Linked DNA regions of Cricetulus griseus. The protein of the gene in region 1 purifies or fractionates together with the protein of each later gene. This does not show direct contact. Links are inferred from orthologs where the notes say so. Each region holds a gene or a part of one and is shown in the gene's direction. Other genes may lie near its edges.

Evidence for each region.
Region 2: the proteins of Ambra1 (region 1) and Dnajb1 purify together in Homo sapiens (affinity purification with mass spectrometry, with the first as the bait; 3 studies listed by BioGRID). This does not show direct contact. The link is inferred for Cricetulus griseus from reciprocal best matches to the Homo sapiens genes AMBRA1 and DNAJB1.
Region 3: the proteins of Ambra1 (region 1) and Bag2 purify together in Homo sapiens (affinity purification with mass spectrometry; 3 studies listed by BioGRID, with this or other methods). This does not show direct contact. The link is inferred for Cricetulus griseus from reciprocal best matches to the Homo sapiens genes AMBRA1 and BAG2.
Region 4: the proteins of Ambra1 (region 1) and Nek9 purify together in Homo sapiens (affinity purification with mass spectrometry; 3 studies listed by BioGRID and IntAct, with this or other methods). This does not show direct contact. The link is inferred for Cricetulus griseus from reciprocal best matches to the Homo sapiens genes AMBRA1 and NEK9.
Region 5: the proteins of Ambra1 (region 1) and Hspd1 purify together in Homo sapiens (affinity purification with mass spectrometry, with the first as the bait; 3 studies listed by BioGRID). This does not show direct contact. The link is inferred for Cricetulus griseus from reciprocal best matches to the Homo sapiens genes AMBRA1 and HSPD1.
Region 6: the proteins of Ambra1 (region 1) and Dcaf7 purify together in Homo sapiens (affinity purification with mass spectrometry; 3 studies listed by BioGRID and IntAct, with this or other methods). This does not show direct contact. The link is inferred for Cricetulus griseus from reciprocal best matches to the Homo sapiens genes AMBRA1 and DCAF7.
Region 7: the proteins of Ambra1 (region 1) and Bag5 purify together in Homo sapiens (affinity purification with mass spectrometry, with the first as the bait; 3 studies listed by BioGRID). This does not show direct contact. The link is inferred for Cricetulus griseus from reciprocal best matches to the Homo sapiens genes AMBRA1 and BAG5.

The regions. Positions count from the first base shown.
Region 1 is NC_048599.1:85,029,887-85,034,173, reverse strand, and holds the start of Ambra1 (activating molecule in BECN1-regulated autophagy protein 1), read left to right. Parts: upstream 1-1,472; 5' UTR 1,473-1,714; intron 1,715-4,287. UniProt on the Homo sapiens protein: Substrate-recognition component of a DCX (DDB1-CUL4-X-box) E3 ubiquitin-protein ligase complex involved in cell cycle control and autophagy.
Region 2 is NC_048596.1:160,786,293-160,790,913, reverse strand, and holds the start of Dnajb1 (dnaJ homolog subfamily B member 1), read left to right. Parts: upstream 1-1,798; 5' UTR 1,799-1,901; coding exon 1,902-2,112; intron 2,113-3,591; coding exon 3,592-4,172; intron 4,173-4,348; coding exon 4,349-4,579; 3' UTR 4,580-4,621. UniProt on the Homo sapiens protein: Interacts with HSP70 and can stimulate its ATPase activity. Stimulates the association between HSC70 and HIP. Negatively regulates heat shock-induced HSF1 transcriptional activity during the attenuation and recovery phase period of the heat shock response.
Region 3 is NW_023276807.1:14,227,362-14,231,673, forward strand, and holds the start of Bag2 (BAG family molecular chaperone regulator 2), read left to right. Parts: upstream 1-1,200; 5' UTR 1,201-1,271; coding exon 1,272-1,384; intron 1,385-4,312. UniProt on the Homo sapiens protein: Co-chaperone for HSP70 and HSC70 chaperone proteins. Acts as a nucleotide-exchange factor (NEF) promoting the release of ADP from the HSP70 and HSC70 proteins thereby triggering client/substrate protein release.
Region 4 is NC_048598.1:118,461,134-118,464,989, forward strand, and holds part of Nek9 (serine/threonine-protein kinase Nek9), read left to right. Parts: intron 1-651; coding exon 652-844; intron 845-3,024; coding exon 3,025-3,169; intron 3,170-3,856.
Region 5 is NC_048595.1:409,526,557-409,530,968, reverse strand, and holds the start of Hspd1 (60 kDa heat shock protein, mitochondrial), read left to right. Parts: upstream 1-1,483; 5' UTR 1,484-1,608; exon of another isoform or gene 1,609-1,689; intron 1,690-2,490; 5' UTR 2,491-2,492; coding exon 2,493-2,666; intron 2,667-4,185; coding exon 4,186-4,412. Other genes in the region: MOB-like protein phocein, read right to left, coding at 175-339, 972-974. UniProt on the Homo sapiens protein: Chaperonin implicated in mitochondrial protein import and macromolecular assembly. Together with Hsp10, facilitates the correct folding of imported proteins.
Region 6 is NC_048600.1:118,986,355-118,990,210, forward strand, and holds part of Dcaf7 (DDB1- and CUL4-associated factor 7), read left to right. Parts: intron 1-55; coding exon 56-265; intron 266-2,047; coding exon 2,048-2,165; intron 2,166-3,537; coding exon 3,538-3,710; 3' UTR 3,711-3,856. UniProt on the Homo sapiens protein: Involved in craniofacial development. Acts upstream of the EDN1 pathway and is required for formation of the upper jaw equivalent, the palatoquadrate. The activity required for EDN1 pathway function differs between the first and second arches.
Region 7 is NC_048598.1:182,322,445-182,327,026, forward strand, and holds the start of Bag5 (BAG family molecular chaperone regulator 5), read left to right. Parts: upstream 1-1,593; 5' UTR 1,594-1,766; coding exon 1,767-1,780; intron 1,781-2,973; coding exon 2,974-4,342; 3' UTR 4,343-4,582. Other genes in the region: cytochrome c oxidase assembly factor 8, read right to left, coding at 973-1,101. UniProt on the Homo sapiens protein: Co-chaperone for HSP/HSP70 proteins. It functions as a nucleotide-exchange factor promoting the release of ADP from HSP70, thereby activating HSP70-mediated protein refolding.

The DNA.
Region 1 (4,287 bases):
CTTGCGGGTCACAACCCTTTTGGGGGTTGAATGACCCTTTCACAGGTATCAAGTAAGACCATTGGAAAACACAGATAATTACATTATGATTCATAAAAGCATCAAAACTAGTTATAAAGTAGGCACAATAATAATCTTATGGTGGGAGTTACCACAACATGAAGATCTGTATTAACGGGATCTTTATTAAAGGGTTGCAGCATTAGTAAGGTTGAGAACCACTGACATAAAGACAGTCACCAAGGGATTCTTCCACAGATACTCCACCTTCACAGGGAGCAGCAGCTCAGTTACATGTCATATCACCCACAGAATGGACAAAGAAATAGCACCACATCAAGAAGACATTTCATTTCATACCCCAGGAGGAAGGATGGCCATATCAGAACTGCCCCCAGGCCAGCCTTACACTCAGCTTAGCTTAGCTTCAGTTGCAGGTCTGATCACCCACAGCAGCGACTGTACAATTTACTCCTCTGAAACTCATCTGTGATTCTCTTTCTCAGCTGTTCGGGTAACAGGTGTTGCCTGACTTCCTGGGGAGATGTAAACAAAACACCTATTCATCCTGAATAAGGCATCAATGGCAGACTAAATAAATGATTCTACCCTAGTCTAGCTTGAGCCAATGAATTTAATTGAGGGTTGCTTACAGGAGACTGAGTGAGAGATTACTCACAGGACCATGGGCAACTTATGGCAGCTACACCACTCGAGTCTCTGCCCTCCTTCAGCAATGAACTATTTATATGTCCTTGAGTAGAGGAAGGGCACTGTACACTGACTCCTGAGTCCCCCCTTTCCACCAGGGGATATTATTCACCAGTGGGCCCAATCTTAATGAGGGTATTGTGCAAATAACCAGAGCTGCTTTGATTTCAAGATGGCAACAGTATATTATGCCTGGGGACAAATTTCTACATATGTAAGGCTAAACTGGAGTGTTCAGTGAGATTGTTCACTGTTTGGTTTTTCATTTCGCCTCTCTTATTTCATACACCTTACTATTCTACAAGGAAATCAAGAATCAAGTCATTTGTTCAACTGGGATAAGTAGCGTGAGAAGTCTTTAAGTGTAAGGCACTTGAACTATTAAGATGAGTTTCATTCTGCTATGATTTGATCTTCAATCAATGCTCTCACAAAAGACATTCTTTTTTCACTTAAGACAAGGTCTCATATAGCCGAGGTTGGCCTCGCGCTCACTCTCAGGATGACTTTGAACTTCGAATCCTCGTGTTCCTAAAATGCTGGTATTACAGGCGTGCACCGGTCTCATACCTTTAATTCTCTAAGTTACTTAAACCCTCGGCCACCAACAGTAAATGGTAGAAACACTCTACGCTATAGTTTATGATCTGTATTTGTTTATTAATGCCTAGGACGGCAGCCGGACCTGCAGCAGGAGCTGAGCAATGATTCGGCACTCGGCTGCAGTTCCTTGAACGATTGCTGGGGCGCTCTTCCTTTGATGTCTGGGCGTTCGTGTGTTCTGTGATCTTTTGCGGCGTCTTCTTGGTTGATGTCTACAGAGCGGCGGCGGCGGCGGCGGTGCCAGGTCCTGAACAGAGTTATCCCGGAGGTCTCGGGCTCTTGCCGCTTTCTCCCGCTGGTCGGTCGAGCGGATCCCTCGCTTCCTTCGGCCTCTTCCCGCCTTCGTCCGTGGCTCGTTGCGCCCGCTGGCCTTCGGGCCGAGCCTTCACCCGTCTCACAGGTAGGCCCGGGAGGAGCCTGGGAGGCCCGGCCCGGCCCGGCATCCTTTGGCTGCGGGCAGGAGGAGACCTTGGCGCTGGCCGGTGGGCGAGCGCGCGGGCCGCCGGGCGGCTGGGAGTGAAGGGGGTTGCGCTCGGGGGCGCGGCCGGAGGGCGGCCCGGAACTCAGTAAGAAGCCGGAAGGAGAAAGAGATGCTGAGGATGCCGGTCGGGTTCTGCAGAGAGGGATTGTTAGGTCCTGGACGAGTGTCGTCACCGCTAGATTGTAGGAGCTTAGCTGTCTTGGACCCTGCTCCCCCTCTCCTCTTCCCAAGTCAGGGCTCCGGATGTCATGCCTCAGTTGCTCTGGGGACCCCCCACTGAGTCCAGCCTCCGAGGCCCCCTTTGAGGCTTGTGAAACAAGGCCCTCCCGCTCGTTGGAGCAAAATGTCACGTTCCAGCCTTTTTGGGGTAGGAAACTGAGGCTGAGGTGTAGGACGTGAGTTTTCCCTACGATCCCGACAGATCATTAAATGCACTGTTAGTTTCTTTTTGTGTCTTTAACGGTTCACTCTACTCTTTCTCCCATTTTAACTGGTCACTTTTTTACATACAGTAATTTCTTATTTGATCGCTTGGAACTCCTCCTTCTTAGGAACATATATTGTGTCACTGGAGGCTTCAGAAGTTAAGGGAACAAGTGATTTTTTTTTTCCTCCTGAATTTGGTTTTTCAAAGTTTATCATTTTAGCAAAAGTAGCAAGGATAATTTTGTTCGCTTTCATTACCCTTCTGATTGATACTGATCTTCAGCCTTCTTTGGAATTTTTCTGCTATGGTGCTGTCTTAGTGTCTCATGGAAGACGCTTAAGACTTTTAATTCAGGTTCTTGTCTTGTCAAGGTCTTTTCTAGGAGGTATCCAAAGGGAATCCAAGGAGTCTCTTTTCAAACAGTTTTTGGTTTTGCTTTTTTATTTGGTTAGTGGTTTAGTCATTTCATATTCAAGAGTTCAAAAGTCTTTGTGTAGAAATTACTCAAACAGATATTAAATTGAAGATGAATCTTTTGTGAATTTCATAATGTTTCTTTTTTCTTTCACAACTTGGAAACATTAAGGTCTAAGTGTTTTTGTTAATTTCATTTTCATTGGATCAGTATCATGATCCTAATCTGTCATTCTTCCTTGAAAAAAAAAAAAGAAAGAAAGGCTTGTAGGTTATTCTAGACTGGATGTTTCCACAGTATATAGAATTCATTATAGGAGAATGACTTTATGGGAGTAAAGATTGTGAAAGTCTGTTTCTACACAATTTTAGGATGCCTTTTTAATGAATTTTAGAAAGATGATAATAGAATTGTATTGTTTCTCCAATTTTTTTAAATGTGTGTGTGTAAGGTCCCTTCTTTTGTAGTGCTGGGAATTTTGAACTCAAGGCCTCATGCATGTGCTCTGTCATGGAGCTACATCCCTAGCCCTGAGATCAGCAAGATTTAAATGGAAGTTATTTATTTAATTTTACTATGTGTCTGTCTGTCCGTCTACAGACAGGGGCATGCCATGCCATGCATGTAGATGTTGGAGGACAGTTTTCAGGAATTGGTTCTCTCCTTTCACCACATGATTCCCAAGTAAATTCAGGTTGTCTGGCTTGACAGAAATCCCCTTTTATCTTCTGAGCCATTTTGATGGTCCATGAAAATCAAATCCTTTGATCTTTAGCAATTTCTTAGTTACCAGGACCTTGGTACTTTTTATAAGGGATTAGTGAAGAACCACTAGACCATCTTGTGTGTAGACCATAGATTGAGTAATTAAGCTAAGATTGTATATTCGTTGAGATAAAACTTTTTTTCTTTTTCTTTTCTTTTCTTTTTTTTTTTTTTTTTGGTTTTTTGAGACAGTGTTTCTCTGTATTGTTTTGGAGCCTATCCTGGAACTCAGGGTGGCCTTGAACTCAGAGAGATCCAACTGCCTCTGCCTCCTGAGTGCTGGGATTAAAGGTGTGCACCAACAATGCCCGGCTGAAATAAACTTTATGATGGAAAAAATGTACACCAAAGCAAAGAATGTAGAGGCAGAAGTAACATTGTCTACTAGACTTTATATCCTTCATGGAATCTGTAGTTTTAAGTGGTATCTTAGTGACTCTTAATGAATGCCAGATAAGAAATGGAAAGTGCTGTGTATATCATGAAGAAAAAGGTTGAAAGCATTTTATAAGTTTCTGTAAGAAATAATGGGGGGCTGGAGAGATGGCTCAGTGGTTAACAACACTGACTGCTGTTCTAGATGACCCGGGTTCAATTCCCAGCACCGGCATGGCAGCTCACAACTGTCTGTAATTTCAGTTCCAGGGGATCCAACACCCAAGGCAAAACACCAATGCACATTAAATTAAAAATAATGGGCAGAGGATTATGTTGAGCTGAGGCAGATAAAGAACTTGGTGAGAGTGAGGTTACAGGGATTGAAACTCGAGGCTTCTCTGTTTTTTCCTGAAAGTTTTACTTATTAATTTTTTTTTTTTTTTTCTGAGTCAGGATTTCTCTGTGGCTTTGGAGACTGTCCTGGAACTAGCTCTTGTAGACCAGGCT
Region 2 (4,621 bases), on another chromosome or scaffold:
GGCTACAAGTCCAAGACAAGACCTTGCCTAAAAAAATAAAAAATAAAAAAGTCACAGTAGTAACTAAAACACACCTTCAAAACTATGCCCCATCATTACTTAGAGAGCAGGACATTTCCAGCCTTGAGGTTGTCCCCAAACACAAACATTTCCTGTGCAAAATACGGTGGACTAGAAACCTTAGTGAGACCCAGCCAAGCCCCTCTAGAGGCACACCTGAATGTCCCCACTGAAGAATTCCTCATGCTCTGCGCTTTCCGGTAGGGGCAGCTCTTCTGTTCTTTATGGAATTTCTGTTTCTATTCACCTATTTTGAGGCAAGCTCTCACTCTGTAAACCATGCGGGCCTTACACAGTACCCCTCCTGTCGCAGCTTCCTGGTGCTGGGATTACAGGAATGTTCCACTGTGCCAGCTCTCTTGTTATTTCTCTAGGTAACATTGAATATTTCCAAGTGACTGGTTCAGGACATCCTCTGTTGAGCTAAAGGATCCCCTAGTCCCAATTCCATTTTGGGGGCAGGGGCTCAACTGTGTTTAGACAGAGCCCTTTTCAGTTCTCTTGGGGTCAGTGTGGTCAGGAAAACCAGAACACACACATCCGGATAGACCACCAAGAGAAGGCTAAGGTCATCTTTCTCACAGGTCTCGGGCTGTCCAACGCAAGGTTCAGCAGAGGCTCAGACGCTGCAGGGCTGCCAGAGAGGAGGTGTCAGCGTCATCCACTAAACAAGACAATTAGTCATCCCTTTGTCCCTGGTTTTTCTTGAGCACTTTCACAGATGCTGAGTAACGTCAACTTCCTATATACAGCGGCCATTCCGATTTCATAAGTGAGCACGACTGAGGCCAGAACGGCTACTTTACCAATTCAAGGTCACACAGCCAGGAAGTACTAGGATCTGGAACGAAGCCTACTCTCTCTGGCTACAGAGTCAAGGCTCGTGCTCTGACTTCCAGGTAGTTTCTCTCCCTGCAGGAACCAAAACCGACTACCCCCGCTTCTCTAAGCCTGGCAGTTTCAGAAGCTCTCTCCCCTTTGCTCTCAGCTGTGTCCTTGACCGCCATCATCCAAGACTTAAAAACCCAAAGAGTCAATTAACAGAGGTGCTCTGTTCCCCCACAGCAAGAAGCGCCCACGTCAAAGCATTCGGAAATATTTACGAAGCACCTAGTGGGTCCTGAAAAAGATGCACAGCCACGAAGCAAAATCCAATGTCTGCCCTGGTGGTGAACTCAGACAGCAAAGTGAGTGACATCTACCCGGAACGCCAAGAACCCGGCTAATTCCTCAGCAGGAAGTAAGGAAGCCTGAGTACCCGGACTGGGGCGATCCCTCGCCAGACCAGCCTCACCTCGCTTTACAGTAACGGCCTGTACGGAGCAACCGGCAGGAGAGGGTGGGGTGCGGACTTTTATCCCTGGGTGACAGCAGAGGGAACTTGGAGGGACGGGTCGGGCAGCTACAAGTCACCGGGCAGGACCGCCCAGCCGGTCTTCACCTAGGGACAGGGTGCGGCTTCGGAAGAGACCCGCCTCTGTAGCCCCGCCCCCTCCCCACGTCGTCACCAGTCGGCAGTGAGAGCGGGCCGCGATTGGCTGTCTCCACTGCGGAGGCGGGACCTCAGGCAGGGGCGCGCGCGCCCCAGGGAGGCGTTGACCAGGGTAGAGCGGGAAGGGGCGTGGCCTCGCGCGGAAGGCCGTTGGCTGCCGGGTCCCACCCCGGATGTTCTGCGTCACGGAGCGGCCGGCAGCGATTGGCCCGAGTGGCGCGGCGCGCCGGGAGGGGCGGAAGGTTCTGGAGGGCTGGCGGGATCTGGAAGCTTCCGCCGGACGGGTATATAGAGTCCGGGACAGGGCAGCTGCGGAGCCGGAGGCGGCGACAGCTGGGCGGCGGTGGCCATGGGCAAGGACTATTACCAGACGCTGGGCTTGGCCCGCGGCGCGTCCGACGACGAGATCAAGCGAGCCTACCGCCGCCAGGCGCTGCGCTACCACCCCGACAAGAACAAGGAGCCCGGCGCCGAGGAGAAGTTCAAGGAGATCGCCGAGGCCTACGACGTGCTCAGCGACCCGCGCAAGCGCGAGATTTTCGACCGCTACGGAGAAGAAGGTACGCGTGCGCGCGGCCGGGGGTGACCCGCCGTTTGACAGGCAGGGAAACCGAGGCACTCGGGGCCTCTCTGAGGCCTCGGCCCCGCATCGACGGCCCGGGGATCCGGCGGCGGTGCCGCCTCCGCCCTCTGATCGGCGGCCTCAGCCGGGAGGAGGAGCTTTGGGCGCGCCCGCCGCTCACACAGAAGCTTCTAGCACGTCTGCCGCAGCCCCTCCCGGCCGGCGGGCCGGCCGCCTGCACAGCGCCCGAACGCTGCAGACGGAGGGCGGCGGTCGCGATCGCTAGGGTGTGAGATTTTGAAAATCGCCCGAGTGTTTGTTCCTCTGGGCCCGCTAACCCGCAGGCTCAGCGCTTAACCCAGAGTTGAGCTGAGCCTTTCTGGCCGCAGTGCGTAGGAACTTCTCTGTAAGGTGTTACAGCATGGCAGAGAGGATGGGGCTGTCAAGTAGACCTGGTGGCGCCGACAGCTGCAGGCCTTACTACCGAATTGTCACGAAGTGAAAGGGAGTAATGTGTTTCCTGCTCCTGCTGCCATTGGCAGTTAAAGACTTGAGATTCACCTAGAACAAACTTAAAAATACATATAACCCCTCCCACTACGGTTCCCAGGGCTTTTTTTATTAAAAGCAAAACTTGTTGAGCCAGGTGCGGGAGCTCACACACCCCACTTTGGAGGCTGAAGCATTGTTGTGAATTTGCTTCAAATCTGAGCTACAGAATGAGCTCCTGTTTCCAAAAGAGCAGGATGTAGTGACAATCCCAGGTCTGGTATGTCTGAGTCAGGAGGATTGCCTCTAGGCTAACCTGGACTATTCAGCAAGTTCAAGGGCTATATAACATGACAGTCACCGGATCGCACTGTGTAGTTCAGGCTTTTATTTTTACTTCTATATATATGGGTACGTGTATGTATGTATGTTCACTGTGTACTTGCTTCGAGAGAAGAGGATGTTGAATCCCCTGGAATTGGAGTTAGTTGTCTGCTGTTGTGTGGGAGTTGATAATCGAACATGGTTCCTCTGCCATAGGAGCAAGTGCTCTTAACTTCTGAGCCGTCCCCAATGCCTCGTGTTGGAGTCCTGGCTGGTCTGGAACTTGCAGAGATCAACCTGCTCCTGTCTTCGGAGTGCTGGGTTTCCAAGCATTCGACACCATGTCTGGGCTTTCTATTTTAAGGATTTTATGGGTTTGTTGGTGGGATTTTTTTGTTTGTTTGTTTTGTTTTTTTCCCCCGAGACAGGGTTTCTCTGTAGCTTTGGAGCCTATCCTGGCACTCGATCTGGAGACCAGGCTGACCTCGAACTCACAGAAATCCACCTGCCTCTGCCTCCCGAGTGCTGGGATTAAAGGCATACACCACCCAACGCCAGGCTTGATTTTGTTTTGTAAATGTGTTAATTTATTGCAGTGCTAGAAATGGAAACCAAGGGCCTTGACTCTCCTACAGTAACTCTGATTTCTGATTTTGTTTTCCAGGCCTAAAGGGTGGTGGCCCCAGTGGCGGTAGCAGTGGCGGTGCTAATGGTACCTCCTTCAGCTACACATTCCATGGAGACCCTCATGCCATGTTTGCTGAGTTCTTTGGTGGCAGAAACCCCTTTGATACCTTTTTTGGGCAGCGCAACGGGGAAGAAGGCATGGACATCGATGACCCATTCTCGGGCTTTCCAATGGGTATGGGTGGCTTCACCAATGTGAACTTTGGACGTGCCCGCCCTGCCCAAGAGCCTGCCCGAAAGAAGCAAGATCCCCCAGTCACCCACGATCTCCGGGTCTCCCTTGAAGAGATCTACAGCGGCTGTACCAAGAAAATGAAAATCTCCCACAAGCGGCTGAACCCCGATGGAAAGAGCATTCGAAATGAAGATAAGATCCTGACCATTGAAGTGAAGAGGGGCTGGAAAGAAGGGACCAAAATCACCTTTCCCAAGGAAGGGGACCAGACTTCCAACAACATTCCAGCTGACATCGTCTTTGTTTTAAAGGACAAGCCACACAATATCTTCAAGAGAGATGGTTCTGATGTCATCTATCCAGCCAGGATTAGCCTTCGGGAGGTAAGGCACTAGGTGGGAGAATCATGAAAGGAGATGACTGCTCTGAGGAGCAGTGGGGGAGACTGGCTGGAGCTCAGCTGCATGGGTCTGGTGGACCTGAACCTTCTCTCTGGATGTTGGAGGAGTCAAGCTTCCTAAGCCAGCTTCCATCTAACATAGTCCTTTTGCTTTCCTAGGCTCTCTGTGGTTGCACTGTAAATGTCCCCACTCTGGACGGCAGGACCATCCCTGTTGTATTCAAAGATGTCATCAGGCCCGGCATGCGGCGGAAAGTTCCTGGAGAAGGCCTCCCTCTCCCCAAGACACCTGAGAAACGTGGGGACCTTGTTATCGAATTTGAAGTCATCTTCCCCGAAAGGATTCCCCTGACATCCAGAACCGTCCTGGAGCAGGTTCTTCCCATATAGCCACCTGCATTCTCCAAGGACTGAGCCAGGGACTTTTCCAGA
Region 3 (4,312 bases), on another chromosome or scaffold:
CATCATTTAATTGGGCTCAGCTACAGAGGGTCAGAGTCACGATGGCATCAAGGACAGGTTCTGAGCACTCATCTGGAACCCAAGGAGGAGGCAGAGACACACTGGGAATGGCTAGTCTTCTGCAACATGCCCAGAGTGACATACTTCCTCCAGCAAGACCACACATAATCGTTCCCAAACAGCCAACTGAGGACCAGATGCCAGAGAGCATAAGACACTGAATCCATGACATCTGCCTTGTTTAGTTGCTAACCTAGGACAAAGGCAGATGCTATACCACCGAGCTACGTCTACAGCCCCTTATACTTTTTGAGATTTTTAGCTCTTGGCAAAGCAACCCCGCCTGGCCTTTGAACTCACTCTGGCCCGAGAGACACAATCCTTTATCAACATCCAGATGAGCTGGCATTAGACCTGAGATGAGCGCAAGCTTCGATTTTTCAAGACATTCACAAAACGTTCAAATTTCACATTTGTGTCATGAAATGACAATGTTTAATGAAGCCAGATAACCTACTGTTCCTTATTATGTAAAATGAGTTGGGGATGGGGCGGGTGGTGATGGTGGTGGAGGACCTGGAAGCCAGCTGTGCTTAAGGGACTTGACTCTGTTAAGTCATCAAATGGCTTTGAGTTCTGATTCAAGGTTGTAAATCCAAGTTTCTCATTTTCTGTGCACCGAGAGGACAAAACACAACTCTAACCAGACATGGCTTTGTATTTCAACCCTACTCCACCTCTTAGTGACCTCTGCAGGAGCCTATTGAATATTATTCACGGAGGATTTCAATAAGTTGGGTGTGAAAGTAATAACCTTTCATTAGAAAGGCGAGACAGTATAAATGCACTTGGCTTTTCCTTATTTGGAGCACAGTGTTGCCCAGGCTCTCCCTGTCCTCTTAGGAGCCTGCCTGGTAACCCGGCAGGTCGGGCAAGTAGAGACTGCCCCTAAGGCGCACTCAATTGTCTTAACGCTACACCAGGGGATCTTTTCTCCCACGTCACGGGCCGCACGATTTTGTCCCTGCTGTGAATTGTGGGTGTTGGGACAAACATCAGAAGCCATCGGCGAGCCGGCAGCCCGGTGGGAGGCTGGCGACGGGCACCGGGACAGGGTCCCCCACCCGAGTGCTGGCGGCTGCGCCCGCGCCTGCCCTTGTTTGGCCGCGCGGCCTCGGGGGCGGTGCCGTCCGCGTCAGCGGCGCCCGCGGTGACGGCGACGTGCGGCCCGCGCCACTGCTGCCCGCGGACGCCCCGGACCCCCGGAGCTCATGGCCCAGGCGAAGATCAGCGCCAAGGCCCACGAGGGTCGCTTCTGTCGCTCCTCGTCCATGGCAGACCGCTCCAGTCGCCTGCTGGAGAGCCTGGACCAGCTGGAGCTCAGGTGAGGGCGGGCGGGCGGGTGAGCGTGCAGGCGGGGGCGCCTCGGGTGGGCTCCACTCCCCGGGCGAGCGCGCGCGGCCTGCCCAACTTCCAGAACCTTGTGTGTGGTCCCCGCTGCCTCTAACTTCCACGTTTCCAGTAATGCTCTTTGGAGGGAGGCAGCAGCTTAGTGGGGTCTCTCCCTCCCACCTTCCCATTGTAGTAAGTTTCTTTGCCCCAAACCACTTCATAGTAACACAAGAGTAAGGAAAATTCCAGACTGCACCTCCCGCGACCAGCGAGAATTAGACCCACGAGTGGCCGTTGTGGGTGGCAAAGTTGGATGCGTTCTTTCATTTTCTTAACCACGTGCAATGCCCTCCGCATTCGGTCTGTATCTGTTGTGCATTTAGAAGATACTGATGACACCTAGGAAGTGCCAGCCACAGGCCTGAAAAGGTACGAGTCACACTCTGCCTGAGATTCTATCGCAGGATCGGTGTTGTAGTAAAATTTCTAAATAGTAAATACTAGCAAATGCTGTAAATACTTTGTTGCCTACAGCAATTTGAGATCTTACCTATCTGGTTAATGTCTCCGAAGTTGTGCAAGTCTTGATTGTGTGCAGGTGTTGTTCCATGAAAATCTTATCAAGGCACCCTGGGTCTTCTGGAACTGCGAACATTTTGTTCCCTAGTTTTCTCCAGGTTCTGCATAAGCAAAAGAATATGAGCAAAATCATAAGAGTCTTGTGTGCCTAATCTCCTTCCATTCGTCCACCAAACAAACAAACGGGAGGATGTTTGCACAGAAAACTACCACAAGCAGCATTGTTACAAATGAGGCATTTGTTATTATTACTATTAGGAGCAGAGATCCAGACGGTGAGAAATTTTTTTCACAATTTCCTGAGTAGCCACAAGAGAAGCCTTAACCATACAGTCCCCAGCCCGGAGTGAGACAAAGGGACCTCAGCTTTCAAGCCCTTCTGAGGAGAGGGAATGCTTCCCTCTACAAAGTAGGCACTGAACTTGGACAGTATATTCTCAACTGCTCAGATTTTTTTCTCCTTGAAAGGGTTTAGGAAGTTGTTACTCTTCTTTAGCTGAGTCACTGTCCTGAAACCTGAATTAATGCCTCCCTAGTGCTGGGTAGGGGGGTGGAGGGGGTTCCTGAAAGCCTTGGGTTTGGTGTTGCAGTCTAATGTTTGGTTAATGTAAAAGGAATTCTGACTGTTGCACATATGTGATTAATTGATACTTTAACTATTTGCTGAGAGGGAGAGTTTAATGTGTGTTTAATGGCTCAAGGCATGGGGCTCCTTTTTAGAAGCCACTTTGACACAGGGCACTGCACTATTAAAAATTTAGACTTTTAGCTGGGCAGTGGTGGCACACACCTCTAATCCCAGCACTCGGGAGGTAGAAGCAGGTGGATATCTGTGAATTTGAGGCCAGCCTGGTCTACACAGTGAGTTCCAGGACTGGCTTCATAGTTACTGAGAAACCCTGTCTTAAAAAAAAACAAAATAAAACAAAACAAAATTTTTAAATATGGATGATAGAGGAAAGATGAAGCTTGTGTGATTTCCCGATACTAGCTTCCTTGTATACAAATATTAGCAAGGCTGTGGATTTGGTGCTGTAAAACCCTGGTTTGTAGATAGTATGCATTTTCCAGTCAGTTGTGTGGATTCTATTGACAGTGGAAGTCACTTTTTCTTCTGAAACTGAAACCACATCAAAGGCTTTATATCCTGGAGGCTGAACTGACCTCTGGGATTGCCTAAAATGCTTTAAAATGTTCAGCCCTGTTTTACAAGCTGTTAGTGGATTGTCGTTCGTTTCTATTAGTTTATAATATTAACTACACTATCTGACATTAAAAAAAATATTTTCTACTACAGCTCCTCTAAAGAGGTAACCCTGTCCTTTCTTGATTTTTGCGACCAGTTCTATGGGATTCTGCGCCCTTCGTGGCTAGATGGCTTACTTATTACTTTTTAATGTTTATCCTAGTTTATAAATAATACATGTTAGCATCTATCTGCATGCTAGGCCTCATGCCTCTGTGGGAGTTACCATTATCTGTATTCTACAGATGAGAAATTGAAGCTCAGATATAAACGACATGCCTCAAGTTGCAGCCAAGAGCTGTGGACTCCACGTTTGAACACAGGAAGAGGGGCTGCTCAGATCAAACACCATGTGTCTTAGTGTTGAATATATCATTTTTCAAACTGTCCAGTTGGCATAAGAACGTGCTTTTACTAAAAGAAAAATCAATTTAGCATTTAATTGAGTAAATATTGAGCACCCAGTACGTGCCAAGTATTGAGTAGCTTCTAGAAGCTGTGGGTGATAAAGCAGCTGGGTCTCGGGGATTGGCAGAGGAGGAATGAATGATAGGTAGGACTGGGAGGTCGGCTGTCCGTACACTTCCCAAATGGTCCCATAGGGAGTAGTTCTTTCCAGTCCACCCAGGCAGGAAATGATGTTGTCGCCAGGGCCAAGGAAATGCACTGTCCGCTGCTTTGGTTTCTTACTGCTTAAGGTTCCTGTCAGGATGTCCCAGTGTCCCAGGACTCACAAAGCAAGTCGACACCATATTTAATTGGAGTAATAGTCTGTAATTTAAAAGAACACTTTTCATATACCTTGTAATTTGAAACTTCTATAACCCTTGAGGAGGAGGAAGCTGTTATTATCTCTTTCAGCTGTGAGAGCAGTGGGTTGCAAAGGAGCTTAGTTGATAGGATGCTTGTCTAGCAGGTTCAGAACCCTACGTTTGATACCTGGCTTCAGAAAGCCAGCATGGTGGTGCATGCCTATAGTCCCAGTCCTAGAGACAAGAGGATCAGAAGTTCAAGGTCATCCTGGGCTATACAGTGAGTTCTGGGCCAGCCTGGAATACATGAGACCTGTCTGGATGGGGGGGGAGGAGAAACTGA
Region 4 (3,856 bases), on another chromosome or scaffold:
TGTCAATTTAGGAGCCAGCATCAGCTTAAGTGTCATATAGGCATTACTTTTCTTTCTTTTTTATTTTTTAAGATTTATTTGTGGGTGTGGGTGTGGGGGGCGGGGTGTGTGTGTGTGTGTGTGTGTGTGTGTGTGTGTGTGTGTGTGTGTGTGCACGAGCATGTAGGCATCTTTAAAGGCCAGAACAGGACATTGGATCCCCTGGAGCTGGATTTTCAGGCAGTTGTGAACCACTGATATGATTGCTGGGAACTGTCCTTTGAAATAGCACTACACACTCTCAACTGCTGAGCCATCTTTGCAGCCTCCAGACAGTCTTTTCTGAAGAGAAAGCCCAAATTTTCCCTTACAATAAAGTGGATGTTATTCCCGTGATGAATTTTGAAAAGTGGGGAGTGGAGCTGTTAGGGACTGGCTGAATCTGGTCTGGTTGAGCCATGATGAAGCCTGTTAAGAGAAAGGGTTGAAAGAATATACTTTCTCATGCCAAAATTGGCTGTTTTTCTGAGAGAATAGACTTTTTTCTTTTTTTTGAAAGAAGCATGCAACCCCTCACCAGGGATCAAACCAAGGGCTTCATGCTAGCTAGTCAAGCCCTGTGTCTTCTTTGAAACCATTGTTACGTTAAATATGTTTGGGGATTGCTGGCAGGTCAAGCACTGTGACTGAAGCACCCATTGCTGTGGTAACATCACGAACCAGTGAAGTCTATGTTTGGGGTGGTGGAAAATCTACACCCCAGAAATTGGACGTCATCAAGAGTGGCTGTAGTGCCCGACAGGTGTGCGCGGGGAATACCCACTTTGCTGTGGTCACTGTGGAGAAGGAACTATACACTTGGGTGGTAAGTAGAGTGAGTACAAGCCCCGATGCTTCTGGGCCCGGGCTGTGTAGGCTTCTGTTAGCTGTCCTTGTGCTGCAGGAATGAGACAAGTGATGGAACATGAGCTCCTGTGAGAGCAGCTGTGGGCTGTGTAGTTCACTCATGTAGCTCCATTCCTAGGGCATCGTGGTTCTTATGAATGGTTCTAGAGAAGTGGATGAGAGAGGAAAAGAAAAGTAAGAGAACCTTGGGTTTGGGTTCAGAAGACTGGGCTGTCTGTCATGGACAACTAGATGATTTCGGATATTTCAGGTACTTGTGTTCTGTTATCATGAGGTTAGAGCAGCTAGTACCTGTGAAATAACTTTGTAAACAAATGAAACACTGCCATTTCAGGAAACCCCCCAGACCCCATCTATGAATGAAAATAGCTTAGAATTTCCCTTTGTTGTCCTCTGAATTCAGCCCTGTCGTTTTGTTGTTGTTTATTGTTGCATTTTTATTTTGAGACAGGGTCTTAACCCTGTAGCCAAAGCTGATCTAGGATTTGCAGCTTCCCAAGTGCTGGGGTTCCGGGTGTGCATCACCAATGTGTTTTCTGCATTTTCCAGGTCTCCCACTCTCCTCACTCACCTACAGTGCAGCTTCTGTCCTTGCCACTCAGTTAATATGGGTCTTACCAAATGACCTGTAAACTGCTAAAATAAAATAAACACCTTTTGTCCTGCCCTAGCATGATGGCCTCTCCCTAGAGGTTCTGTTATCACCTGGCTTCTGTAACAGCAAGTGCTGCTGGCTTTCTGTTTCACTGCTGTACCTTGTGTAGGTGCATGAGGGAGCTCGTCTGTTTTTCAGTGGCTTCAGCTTTCTTCATAGGCATAAGGACTGTATTATCTTATCCGGTGCTTTATCTCCATTGTGTGAAAGTAGAGAGTGGGTAATTATGAAATCATAAAAGAATGAGAGATTTGGCCTCTGTAACAGAGGGATGTTGTTTCCCAAAACCTTATCCCTTAGAGAATTAGCCTGAGGCAGCAGCCTGAAATGTAATAAGTAATGCCTGACCACTGTTTGCTACGGGGTTTATATTTGGGTCAGTGAATGGAAAGAATTGCTATCTCTGTGAAACTGTTGCAAAGCTATGAGGACTGTTCTTATTACCACATAGCACCTTCCTTGATGGAACCAAATTCTCTCTCTTTTTCCTTATTTTTGTTTTCTTTTTGGTATAGCTATGGTCTTTTTAACTGTTCTGTTTTAGGGAAGCTGCCCAAAATCTATAAACTTCTAGTGCAGGTCTTTTCAAGAGGTTATTATACTCATTTAGAAACTGCTCTGGTTAGTTTTTGTCAGCTCGATGTAAACTAGCACCTGGATAAAGGGAACCTCAGTTGAGGAATTGTCTCCATCAAATTGACATTCTGTGGGGCATTTTCTTGATTGATGATTGACTGGGGAGGGTCCAGCTCAATGTGGATGGTGCCACCCCTGGGCAGGTGGTTCTGGGTGCTATAAGAAAGCAAACTAAGCAAGCCATGAAGAGAAAGCAGTAAACCGTGGTAACTTCTGCTTCAGTTCCTGACTTGCGTTCCTGTCCTGGCTTCCTAAATGGTAGATTGTAAACTACCTTAATGGTAGATTGTAATCTCTTTCCTTCCAAGTTGCTTTGAGTCATGGTAGTCATCACAGTAGCAGAATCCAAATTAGAACAGAAAGCAATCCAATTATACTCTGTATTGAACTTTTTCATCATCTCCCATTATAGTTAAACATATAATTCACCTTACACTACAAAAAAGGCAATTTGGAATTTGTCCTGTGCCTGATGGGTATGAATATGGATGTGTTTTAAAATCTTATTTACCTGTAAGTCGGGATTTATATTAACCAATAAATGCTTTAACCTGGCAGGGCATATCAGTGAGCACCTTTAATCCCAGCATTCAAGAGGCAGAGGCAGGCAGATTGCCCAGCCTGTTCTATACAGAGAGTTAGTTTGAGGATAGCCAGTGCTATATAGTGAGTCCCTATCTCAAAAAAAGAAAAAAAAAAAAAGCCTTTTGAAAGCTTAATACCCTTCCCCACTTTTGTCTTTAAATTTCCAGTATTTTTTTCTTATTGTTTTTCTTCAGAAGAAGTGATATTAAAGATTAGCTTTTAGTGTGAAAAGTTAAAACTTCACAAGACCTCTTTTTTAACAGAACATGCAAGGGGGCACTAAACTTCATGGTCAGCTAGGACATGGAGACAAAGCTTCCTATCGACAGCCAAAGCATGTGGAGAAGCTGCAGGGAAAAGCCATCCACCAAGTGTCGTGCGGGGATGACTTCACTGTCTGTGTGACAGGTAAGCCATAACAAAAAACATTTTGAGTACATTCAATATGAGACATTGTGCTGATGCTATGCACTTTAGTTGAGATTTTATAGCAAAAGACAACCAAAAAAACAAAAGACAGTAAGCAAATATCCTCATTAATAGCAACATTCCCAGGCTTGGGGAGAATAGCTCAGTAGTAGAGCACTTGTATAGGAAAGGCCGTAAGTTCAGTTCCCAACATTAAGACAAACAAAAGAAACTTCCCAGTTTGCTGTGACGTAGAGTGATGAGCAAGAAAAAGAACTGCAGCCATAGAAGGCCTCACCCTCCCTGGGGAGCAGAAAGGGGATGGGATAGGTAGGGTGTTAGTGGGGGGCAGGGGAGGAGGGGAGGGAGAGGGACCCGGGATTGACATGTAAAACAATCTTGTTTCTAATTTAAATGTAAAAAAAACCGGGGGGGGGGGAGGAGAAAAAGGAAGGTGGATAATGGAGAAGATACGAGATAGAAAGCTAGTTTGTGTCCTGCTTTGGATTTTGCATGACACAAAATCAGGATCAAAGGTTATATATAGTTTTGATTTTATCATTACTTTTTAAGTCCTTGATATTATTTTTTTAATTTTATGTGTATGTGTATATCTTAGTATGGGTTTGTACTTTTTATTGTGGAGGCCAAAAGAGGGTCTCAGATCCCCCCACCGGCCCTGAATCT
Region 5 (4,412 bases), on another chromosome or scaffold:
AAAATAAAACAACTCCACAATGGTTTTCCTTCATGCGCGGTTCTTTGTGAAGTTAAATTATTTCAAAAAAAGACATCTACTATTTTAAAAGCCACTTGGTAATCTAGGATTTTCTACTCCTTTCCTTCCATATCACATATAAGACTCAGTACTGCTGTAGTAGCTCCCAGTTACCTTTCCTTTCGAGCCTGATCCCACAGCCACTACTGTTGCTTGCAATACTTTTCCTTGAGACTTTTCTGGAAGCATAATGCCACCTTTGGTCACAGTTTCGGCGGCACTCCTTTCAACCAATACTCTGTCAAAGAGCGGTAGAAACTTTTTGAAAGCTTGTCCAGCCTGCGGAGAGAAACGTGTTCAAACGGACTGTCATTGCGTTCGCAGCGTCAGACCACGAACAGTTAATACCGCTGCATGCCTTAACCTATAACGGGTCAAACGTCCCAAACTGACAAGAAAAATCTAGGTGTGCCTTTAGAAAATATTCTTGGATGTTTCATACCCTGTATATTTTAGTGCGTGTGGGTGGGTGGGGGGGTGTCTTCATTGCCCATCAGCACCCACACTACCTTTAACCACAACCTTGGTCTCCTCCAAGGTCAAACGTTTTCCTTCTTTAGATTTCTTTTTTTAATTCTAGTAACGCCGGGGAGAGAGTATCAATTTTTGAGCTGGGTCATATATTCTCCAACACAGTATACGTCCATGAAAGCCCTGGCAGGGCAGGTGGGCTACTGAGTGTGCATCCGGGTTCCCGCCCCCTACCCCGGGCTCCTGCAGCACACGTGCGTGCAAAGAGGCCGTGGTGGAGAACCGCATCGGACAGGCCTCGCTCCTGCGGAACCCGGGCGGGCGCCGAACACTGCGTGGCCCCCTGCCCTGCCGGTGCTAAACCGGCACACAGGGGGGGACACCGTGGGTCGCGGGGGACCCCGACCCGCAGGCAGGCCTGCCAGCCCAGGGACACTCACCATGACTCGCGCCGCCGCCGCTCGGACTCTGCACTCGGGCCGCCGCTGCAAGGAGAGTCCTGAGGTCCGGCTCGGGACACGTGAAAAAGCCACGCAGCGCGCAGGCGCAGGCGCACGCGGCCCCCCCCCGCGAGCGTGAGAGAGGGCGGCCACGGCAGCGCGCGCGCCGATTGGTGGCGAGGACTCCGCGCAGGCCGCCGAAGGGGGCAGCCGGAGGCGGAAGAAAAGGGGCGCGCTTTCTAGGCTTTTCCAGGCGGCCCGCTGAGGTGAAAGAACGAGCCCTTCGTCCTCCTCCCGGAAATGACGCCACCTGACCCTTGACCCACGGGAGGCGCAGCGCCCTTCCGGAAGGTTCTAGAACGGAGCGAGGCCCAGGAACCAGCGTAGGGCGGCGGGAGAGGGTTGAGCCCGCGGGGCTGAGACCGCTCGGGTACGGGGGGGGCGGGGCCACCCGCGCCGCATGCTGATTGCAGGGCCCGGGCGTGGGAGGGAGCGGGGCGCGCGCGCACGCGGGGCCGCGGGGCGGGGCCGCGGAGGGAGGGGACTCGGACTCATTGCGGTGCGCGCTCTGCGCTCGGTCCCTCACTCGCCGCCGACGGCCTGCTTCGCCTCGTGCCCTCCCGCCGCCGCCCCGCAGGTACACGGCCTCGACGTGCATGGCGCCCGGGAGCTCGCCGGCCTGCTTCCGGCTGGGCCCGAGCATGGCGGGCTAGGGGACAAGGCTGGCAGCGACGCCGCAGGCTCTGCCGGCCTGTCCAGGCCCGACGGGGCCACGCGGGTTTCATCACGTGCGGCGGGGACCACGCGACCCAGGCCAAGCGCGGGAGCGAGGACGGGCTAGGGTGGGAGCCACTTGGGCCCTCTGGTGCCACCTGCGCCTGGCGCACTGCAGGACTCTTGTCGGAGGGTGGTCGCGGTCCCTTCTCGTCCCCTCTGGCTGCGGGGATGCGGCGCCTCTACTTTGACCTTGCCTGGGGCTCCTTGTCGGGCAGACACGTGGGGCCGCGCGAATGGGCTGAGCTGCGGTCCTGGGTTTTGCGGCCTTGCTAGTTGCTGTGCTACCGTAGCTCCGGGTGGACACCTGGCGTCACTTTTCCTGAGCGGGGTTTTGCACCGTCATGAGTACTTGTATAGTTCCCTGTGCTCTTGCATTTGGAACCTGCCTCGCTTACGCCAGCTTGATTTTTTTGCCCCCCCCACACACACTTTTGGAGTGGATCTGTTCCTAAGGCCGCTTTGCCAGTGAAAGATTAACTCGCGGTGGCAGGAGTGGGTGGCCATGGGGAATGGTTTTGTGTGCTAGGGCTGCAGGTCAAGCGAGCATGGGGGCGGCCTCCTTAATCCGTTGCTAGCAATTGATGTCCTGAAGCTGCAGCGCCGTGTGTGGCCCAGGCGTGGCGGTTAGCAGAGGACTGCCAAGCTCCAGTCTAGCTAGCCTCCATGTTCTGAAGCACAGGTGGACAAGTTTGTCCGTAACTAGTAGTGATCCTTTGCTTTTTTTTTTCCCCCCCTCTCCCAGAAATGCTTCGACTACCCACAGTCCTTCGCCAGATGAGACCAGTGTCCCGGGCGCTGGCTCCTCATCTCACTCGGGCCTATGCCAAAGATGTAAAATTTGGTGCAGATGCTCGAGCCTTAATGCTTCAAGGTGTAGACCTTTTAGCGGATGCTGTAGCTGTTACAATGGGGCCAAAGGTATCAGTATACTTTAAATCGTGTTAATAAAAGAATAGTATTCTGTAGCTGCAAATTAGACAGTATTTGTTAACAAGTTTTATGAAAATCTAATTTGAGTGTAGTACATGTTAAGTGATTTGGGGGTGTTATTTAGGAGTTTCGTTAGTTGGTGGCCTTAATACTGCTGCAGCCGATTTGGGGGACTTTTGTGCAACATGATGTAATAGAGTAGTAATAGCTCAAGGAGGATTTTCAAACTTTAGGCGTAATTAATCTTGTGTGAATGCTTGCATTAAATTTTGGATCCTTTCCCAGGAGTTAGAGGGTATAGAGGGGAAAGGACAGCTCAAGACTAGTAACACCTCAGAGTGTAATTGTAGATGTGAGGTTTTACTTAACTGTACTGAAGTATTACAGTATGCATACAGTAGATGCGATAGCATAGAGTTTAGATTTATTTATATTTTTATGTGCATTGGTGTACTGTCTGCGTGTATACCCATGTGAAGATCCCAGAACTGGAGTTACAATTGTGAGTTGCTATGTGGGTGCTGGGAATTGAACCTGGGTCCTAACCACTGTGGCATCTGTCCAGCCTAAGTTAATATTTGTGACTTCGTTTGCATTGTTCTGTAACTCACCATCACACATCTCCAGAACCGTTTTCACTTGCACATGGAAAAGGCTATCTGGTCTCCCATTTATCCCTCCATTGTGCATACCTCATGATTTCTCTGCCATTTCCACATTCCAAAAGTTTGGTTTGGGGTTTTTAAGAGTCTCGATAGCTTAGTCAGACCTCTAACTCGCTTTGTACCAAGACTATCCTTGAACTGATTGTCCCAGGTATGTAACAGTTTAGTATACTATTCATCTGGTGTTTATTGAGACAGGGTCTTTAGCCATAGCTGACCTGGAACTCCTGTGGACCAAGCAAGCTTGAACCTTGAATCATTGCTGAGATCCAAGGCTGGAGTCACTCATCTGTGTGGTTGAATAAGGAGCCATAGTACTTTGAGGACATAATTGGATGTGGGGCACAGTTGCTTTAAATTGACGTTAAAGCCATCTAAAGAGCTTCGTAAAGTGCTGTTTATATAGGTCAAGACAGAATAGCTTGGTTCAAATCCAAGTTGCCAATACTGTTGGTGTCAGTTTTGAAGTTTTGAATTGCATGAGCAGGAAACAGTAAGTTAAGAACAAACTTACTGGCTGATATTTAGTGAATGGATGTTCAAGTAAATTGTACTTAAAAGCAACAGTTAATAAAAAAGTAATAACAGTTCATAACCAAAACTCGTGTACAAGTGATGGAAGGGTGTTCCAGGATTGGTGATTGTCACCTGTGCTATCTTGTTTAATAGGTGGCATCTCTTTGGGTGGGTGGGGGATGTTATCTACTGTTGTACCTCAGAGTTCCTTTTGTCTATAGACCTAAGAATGTTGATTAACTTGACCTTTGAGATTCACGTTTCAGGACTGTTAAAAGTGACAACTTTGAAGTTTATGGTTGAGGGTTGTTATTCTGTCATTGTAGGGAAGAACAGTGATTATTGAACAGAGTTGGGGAAGTCCCAAAGTAACAAAAGATGGGGTCACTGTTGCAAAGGCAATTGATCTAAAGGATAAATACAAAAATATCGGAGCTAAACTTGTTCAAGATGTTGCCAATAACACAAATGAAGAGGCTGGGGATGGCACTACCACTGCTACTGTTCTGGCACGTTCTATTGCCAAGGAAGGCTTTGAGAAGATCAGCAAAGG
Region 6 (3,856 bases), on another chromosome or scaffold:
TTTCCATCCTGTGGGAAAAGGTGGCTGATGTGAACTGGACATTTCTTACCAATAGGTCTATGATATTGCGTTCAGCCGAGCTGGAGGTGGCAGGGACATGTTCGCCTCTGTGGGTGCGGATGGCTCTGTGAGGATGTTTGACCTCCGTCATCTGGAGCACAGCACCATCATTTACGAAGACCCTCAGCATCACCCACTGCTTCGCCTCTGCTGGAACAAGCAGGACCCTAACTACCTTGCCACGATGGCCATGGATGGAATGGAGGTAAACCCCGTTGTCATGTGAGCTTTCTGCCCTGGCTGGTCCCGTGGCCCTTGAGCCCCAAATGAACACACAAGACTTATATTAATTATGAAACTGTTGGCCGATGACCAGGGCTTCTTTTTTTTTTTTTTTAAGATTTATTTATTTATCATGTATACAGTGCATGCCAGAAGAAGGCACCAGATCTCATAATGGATGGTTGTGAGCCACCATGTGGTTGCTGGGAATTGAACTCTGGACCTCTGGAAGAACAGAGTGCTCTTAACCCCTGAGCCATCTCTCCAGCCCAGACTAGGGCTTCTTATCAGATAGCTCTGTCTTAATTATTAACCCATTTCTATCAATCCGTGTCTTGCCACAAGGCTGTGGCTTACCCAGTAATGACCAGCATGGTGTCACTCCTCTGGCAGCATCTTGACTCTGGCCTCCTACACTTTCCAGAATTTGTCTCCTAGCCCCACCTATTTTCCTGCCTGGCCAATCAATGTTTTATTCATCAACCAATAAGAGAAACATATAAACAATAGCATCTCCTATCACCCCATACGTCTGCCTGTCCCTTGTCCAATCTGCCTTGTGTATTTACAAGAGTAGCTCTCGGATGGTGGCGGTTTTGTGCTCAGTTGATCTTTGGAAATACCTGGAAACATTTTTGGTTGTCAGAAGAGGAAGCAAAGAGTATTTTTGGCATCAAGTGGGCAATGATCAGGGAGGCTGCTAATGACCCTGCAATGCACAGACAGTTCCCAACAGTGTCAGTCTACTAAAAATGCCAAAAGGGCCTAGACTGAGGACCCTGGTCAACAAAAAGGACTGTGCTCAGCTTCTCCCCACTTTGGTGAAACAGAGTTTCTGTAGCTCAGGCTAGCTTGGAGCTTACTGTGTATCCTAGGCTAGCCACAAACTCACTGCAGTTGCACTGCTTTTGTGTTAAGGATTTCTGATACAGTGGGGATGTAGCTTAGCAGGAGAGTACTTGTCTAGTATGCTCAAGGCTCTGAGGTCGATCCCCAGTACAAAAAAATCACACCCTTGCATACACACACACCAGTAAACTTTCAATGGGCATGGTGGTGGCACACCTTTAATCCCAGCACTTGGGAGACAGAGACAGAAGGATATCTGTGAGTTCAAGGCGAGCCTGTTTTACATAGATTTCTAGGGCTACATTGAAAAGCATTTTCTTAAAAAATAAAATAATTTCTGATAAAGTAAAGCTAAGACAAGTAGAACAGCGATGGTGGCTACAGCAGGGACTCAGTGTAGGTACACAGAGTCACCATGAATACAGTGGGCACTCAGGGCAGGTACAGAGTCACCATTTGTTTGTTTGTTTGTTTTTCAAGACAGGGTTTCTCTGTGTAACAGTCCTGGCTGTCCTGGAACTCACTTTGTAGACCAGGCTGGCCTCGAACTCACAGAGTTCTGTGAGTTCTGCCTGTCTCTGCCTCTCCAGTGCTGGGATTAAAGGTGTGTGCCACCATCGTGTCTTCTTACAGGCACTTAACAAAGGTGTGTGTGTATCATCCAAACTCACAGTGCCTATTCCTGCTTCCCCTTCTTATTAGTCTAAAGGCCCAGGGTCTCAACACAGAGACTACACTACATGTGTTTGTTCATTGTTTTCTTTCTTTCTCCATCCTAGGAAACCCTTTCTTTCGTATTCTTCAAGTCCACAAACAAAAAGATTATGCTTAAAACTTTGTTTGTGAGATAGTGTTGTTTGTTTGTTTTTCCTGCCACACTCTGCAATTATTGGGCCTTTTTCTTACATTTCTGCAGGTGGTGATCCTGGATGTTCGAGTTCCCTGCACACCTGTCGCCAGGCTAAACAACCACCGAGCATGTGTCAATGGCATCGCTTGGGCCCCACATTCATCCTGCCACATCTGCACTGCAGGTAACCACGATGGGAGGGAGGATCAGAGAGTGAAGATCCATTCTTGGCTCCCTATGAGTCAAATCCTTGCTGTTTCCAAGGAGACTTTTGTGAAAGTGGAGTAGTCCACATTCCAGATGATCTTGTGTATTTAGTTGGTCTCAGATCATCTTTTATTGACTAATGACATTGTATCAGATACAGACCCGTGCATATATTCCTATAGGGGAGTATGTGCTGTTCCCCAGGAGTCTGGGTTCTTACAAGAAGAAGCATCCCTCTTGGCTGTAACAGGATCTTTGGCACTACCAGGAATCATCTCCCTTGGGTCTTGGGTCTTGTACCTTCACATAGCCTTACCTACAGTTCTCATTTTAGTATTTTTCTCAAAGAGGGTGCCACCATAGCTAGAAAACACATTAATTGGCAGTGGTTCGATTTGTTGTTGTTGTTGTTGCTGTTTATTTTTGATGGTGTTAAGGATTCAACCAAGGATATTAAACATGATAGGCCCTGAGCTATATCCTCAGTCCCCTGTTGCTGGGACTACAGGCCTAGGTGGAATTTCTTTTAATGGTGCATGTCTGTATAGCAATTTGTGTCAGTCATCTGTACAGCTTGTTGAAGTGTAAGTATACATAAAAGGGAAGCAGTCATCAGAGAAGCGTCTTCATTCACGTAAGTGTTTTTAGTGGCTGACAGTGATATCATATTGTAGGATCATTGCATCCTGTGTCCTCTCCTGATTCTCGACTCCAATGTTCTGATCTAATTCTCTAATACTGGAGCAGTGGGTGGGTGGAGCTTAAGGACCTGGATATGAGTCCTGACCCTGCCACTCACTGGCTACATGGCATGATGGGGCAAGTGTAACATTGCTAAATCTTGGTTTCCTCATCTCTAAAATAAAACTCCCTCACAAAGTTTTGGTGAGCAAATGTTTTACAAATTATGATTGACCCTCCAGTTGCAAGATTGTTACCACATTGTGGGCTGGAGAGATGGCTCAGAGGTTAAGAGCACTGGCTGATCCTCCAGAGAACCTGAGTTCAATTCCCAGCAACCACATGGTGGCTCACAACCATCTATAATGAGATCTGGTGCCCTCTTCTGGCCTGCAGGGGTGCATGCAGGCAGAACACTGTAGATCCTATAATTAAAATCTTTAAGCTGGGCATTGGTGGTGCACACCTTTAATCCCAGCACTCGGGAGGCAGAGGCAGGCGGATCTTTGTGAATTTGAGGCCAGCCTGGTCTACAGTGCGAGTGCCAGGATAGGCTCCAAAGCTACACAGAGAAACTCTGTCTCTAAAAACCAAAAAAAAAAAAAAAAAAAACAAAGGTTGTTACTCCATTGTCTGAGCTATGACATTCTTGCTTGTTTTTTCCCCAGCGGATGACCATCAGGCTCTCATCTGGGACATCCAACAGATGCCTCGGGCCATCGAGGACCCTATCCTGGCCTACACAGCTGAAGGAGAGATCAACAATGTGCAGTGGGCCTCAACTCAGCCTGACTGGATTGCCATCTGCTATAACAACTGCCTGGAGATACTCCGTGTGTAGTCTTGGCGGCACCTCACCTACCAGGCCAGGGCTTGTGTGTTTCAGCCTCTGCCCCTTTCCCTCCCCACGTAAGAAGAACATGTTTCCAGTGGCCAGTATGTCTATTGTTGCTTTACACCCACTGTGTCCAGAAGCTGCTGTAGGAG
Region 7 (4,582 bases), on another chromosome or scaffold:
TTTGTTTGTTTTGTTTTGAGACAGTGTCTCACTTGGTTGCCCTGGCTCCAAGTTACTATGGAGCTGAGCTTGCTACCCAGACCAGGCAGGCTGCCTTGTGAGTTAAAGGCGTTGAGCCACCACACCCGCAGCAAGACTCTCTCTCTCTCTCTCTCTCTCTCTCTCTCTCTCTCTCTCTCTCTCTCTCTCTCTCTCTCTCACACACACACACACACACACACACACACACACACACACACACACACCCCAAAGTAAATGCTTGGCTGAGTTACATTTCCCCTCCCCAAACATGTTCAGACACCTGTTTCGTTTTTCCTTCTGCCCAAGGACTAAAATTCTATTTTTCTAGAGACAGAAGTGAAGGCTTGTCTGTTTCTCGTGCCAGGGAACCGAGCCAGAGGCCAGGAGCCCGGGCAACAAACCTTAACTGGAGACTAGACAGACTTCAAAAGCTGTAGTTCTAATAAAAGTGTTTCCGAGACGCAGCATAACAGAAATGGAAATTCACACAGCAGGCACATTTTGCAATTCTTAATTATCTCCCCCACACACCTTTTTTTTCCCCGCTGCGGCCCTTTAATTATTGCTTAAGCAAACCTCGCCAGCCTGTGTCGCCGGCCTGCTGGCAAATGCAGTGCGGGCAGCCATGGGCGCTGTCTAGTGCTCTCCACCTGAAGCCTCAGCCATCACTCTCACTGGCCCGGGCCTCCCTTAAACGAAGCACCGGCTCGGGAAGAAGGGCGGCGGGTTAAACAAAAGCCGAGCGCCCGGCCGCTTTCCCGGCTCGCTGCGGACGCGCCCTGCGGCCTCTGACGCTGCGCGACTGTTTACAAACAACGCGCGGCCCGAGCCGCCGCCGCCTCCAGACCGAGCCCGGGCGCCTTCGCGCAGCGGAAGTGAGGGCGCAGCGCGCCGACAGCGCTTCACGCCGGCTCCGGGGACGCCCCGCTCCCTCCCCGGGCGTCCGCTCACCGGGCTGGACGCCGCATCCCTGCGCTCCGTGCCGCGTTCCCGGGCCAGCCGGCCGCCGCCGCCGCCGCTGGACGAGGAGCGGACGAGCGGCCGGACGAGCGCTCCGCTTCCGGGCCGCAGAGCCGCCATGGCCGGCGCGCGGCGCGATCGCGACAGCGCCGCGGTCCGCTTTACGGCAGCGTCGCGCGGGCGGCGGCGGGCGGCGCGGGCGAGGCCGACCGTGCGCTTTCCCGGAGAGCGGCGGCGGGCGCGCCCGGGGCGGGGCCCGGCCGCGTTTTTCCCCGGGCTCGGAGCTGGGCGGCCGGCCCCGCGGCGGGCGCCGCCTCGGCAACGCTGCGGAAGTGCAGGCGGAGGAGCGCGCGCGATGGCGCGAGCGGCCCAGGTGAGCGCAGCGCAGCGCGGGGGGGGCGCGGGCCTCGTTCTCCCCGCCGCCGCCGCTCCCGCGCGCCCATTGTGAGGTCAGGCGGCGGCGCGTCGGGCCCGGCCGAGACGCCCCGGAGCGGCCGCCGCGGCCAGTAGCTGCCGCCGCCTCCGCCGGCCCCTTCACCGGCCGCCCGGGTCAGACCTAGCCGGGAAGGGCGAGGGGGATGCCGCTGGGGGCCCCGCTCCGGCGCCGCTCCCCGTGACGGGCCGGTCTCCCGCCTCGCCGCCCTCCGCGGCCGCCAAGACCGCCGCCGCCCGCACCTCTCCGGGCTTGGACTGAGTTCTGTGGCCGGCCCGCCGGAAGTGAGCGGTTTGACAGAAACCTGAGAGACGGAACGAGCGAGCGAGCGAGCGTGGGAAAAGCTCTAAGCATGCTTACGGGGAGGCGAGTGACCCAGCTAATAACCGCACTTGTCACGCTTTCTGGCGGGGGCCCGGGTCGGGGCAGCAATGGGAGTCGAGGGGGGCGAGGACTTCGTGGAAAGGACAAGTCCGGTTGGGCCTGGGGCAGAACGGTGGCCCGGTGAGGAGCCCCGGAGAGCGCCCGATGACTTCCACAGGGGAGCCTCCCGCCCCGCCTGCCGCTCCCAGTCGTCCTCTAGGGCGGTGGGAGCAGAGGAAACGGGGTTGACGCGGATGGTTTGGCCTCCGTGAAAGTGTGTGCGTGTGTGTGCGTGTGTGCGTGTGTGCGTGTGTGTGTGCGCGCGGCTCACTTTGATTCCCAGGCCCAGACATCCACCCCAGACTGGACAGACTTCTCCCTGTTTTCGTTTTGCTTTTGAGTCAGGATCTCACTGAGTGGCCCGGGCGGGTCTTGAACTCCTAATTCTCTTCCCTCTGCCTCCCTGGCGCCGGGCGTGTTGGCACATTGTTTTGTGAAGTGCTTTCCCGAGAGGGAGTTAACATGTCACATCTCCTCTTTCCTCGAGTATGTCTTCCAAATCTATAAATAACGACAAAACCTTCCGTCTGTGTGTTTTGGTGCTTGCCCGGGTGCCAGAGTTCAACCCTGCCCCCCTCCCCCCAGACACACCATTTCTGTGGTGTCCTTCTACTTTGTTTTTTTTGAGGCGGGGCTTCTCATGGCCCGAAGCTCCCCAATCGGAGTAGGCTAGCTGGCCAGTGAACCACAGAGTCCACGCGTCTCTGACTCCTGGCACCGGTGGTGTAAGTGAGCACCATCTTGCCTGGCTTTTACGTTTTATGTGCACCGGTGTTTTGCCTGCATGTATGTGTGTGCATCACATGTGTGCCTGGCGCCTGTAGAGGCCAAAAGAGGGGATCAGATCACCTGGAACTGGAGTTACAGGTGACCAGGAGAGGCCATGTGGGTGCTGGGAATTGAACCCAGGTCCTCTGGAGAGCATCCAGTGCTCTTAACCACTGAGCCCTCTCTAGGGCCCTTGCCCTGGCTGTCTTTGCATGTGTTCTGGAGCTCCAACTGGAGCACTTGACTGACAGCTGTCTCCATAGCCCCAATTAATCCTTTAAAAAGTATGCCTTTTAAAAGTGAGTTTAAAGTGGGTTGATCTAACTGTCCTGCAGAGACTGTAATAAGTTACTCTTGCCGTCTTTCAGTGCTTGTGAAACTGAACACAGAAGTATGGATATGGGAAACCAACACCCTTCTATTAGTAGGCTTCAGGAGATCCAAAGAGAAGTCAAGAGTATAGAGCCTCAAGTGGTTGGCTTCAGCGGCCTGGCGGATGACAAGAATTACAAGAGACTGGAGAGGATTCTGACGAAACAACTTTTTGAAATAGACTCTGTAGACACAGAAGGAAAAGGAGACATTCAGCAAGCTAGGAAGAGGGCAGCGCAGGAGACAGAAGGCCTTCTCAAAGAGTTGGAGCAGAATGCAAACCACCCACACCGGATTGAAATCCAGAACATCTTTAAGGAGGCACAGGCCCTTGTGAAAGAAAAGATCGTGCCCTTTTACAGTGGAGGCAACTGTGTGACTGACGAATTTGAGGAAGGCATCCAGGACATCATTCTGAGGCTGACGCATGTTAAAACAGGAGGGAAGATCTCTTTGCGGAAAGCAAGGTACCACACCCTAACCAAGATCTGTGCCGTGCAAGAGATCATTGAAGACTGCATGAAGAAGCAGCCTTCCCTGCCGCTCTCTGAGGATGTGCACCCTTCAGTTGCCAAGATCAATTTGGTGATGTGTGAGGTGAACAAGGCCAGGGGCACTTTGATCGCACTTCTGATGGGCGTGGACAGTACTGAGACTTGCAGGCACCTATCGTGCGTGCTGTCAGGGTTGATGGCTGATCTAGATGCTTTAGACGTGTGTGGGCGTACGGAGATCAGAAATTACCGGAGGGAGGTGGTGGAGGACATCAACAAACTACTGAAATACCTAGATTTAGAAGAGGAAGCTGACAGTACACATGCATTTGACCTGGGGCAGAACCATTCCATTCTGAAAATAGAAAAGGTGCTCAAGAGGATGCGAGAGATAAAAAATGAACTTCTCCAGGCTCAGAGCCCTCCCGAACTGTACCTGAGCTCCAAGACAGAACTTCAGGGCTTGATCGGACAGCTAGATGAAGTCAGTGTTGAGAAGAACCCCTGCATCCGGGAAGCCAGGAGAAGAGCCGTGATTGAAGTGCAGACCCTGATCACGTACCTGGACCTCAAGGAGGCCCTGGAGAAGAGGAAGCTCTTCCCTAGTGAGGAGAACCCCCCACACAAGGCTGTGTGGGATGTCCTTGGAAACCTGTCAGAGATTCAGGGTGAAGTCCTCTCGTTTGGTGGAAACCGAACTGATAAGAACTATATCCGTCTGGAGGAGCTGCTGACCAAACAGTTGCTGACCCTGGACGCTGTTGACCCCCAGGGAGAAGAGAAGTGTAAGTCTGCTAGGAAGCAGGCTGTGAAGCTGGCCCAGAACATCCTCAGCTACCTTGATCTGAAGTCCGACGAGTGGGAGTACTGATGGACCAGGAGCTGCTCCTGCTGGTTCACACTTTATCTGCTTTTAGAGAGCTTTCAGCTCATGGAGCCTAAATGTAATTTCTATGTGCATATTCAATCTCAGTATTTATGATTTAATCAAATTATATGCAGTATTTCTGCTGCTTTTGATGTTGCAAAACGAATATCATTATAGCACATTAACTTTTCCATTTGGCTCGTTATGCTTACAATGTGTGCTTTGTGTTGTCGACTTTGTGTG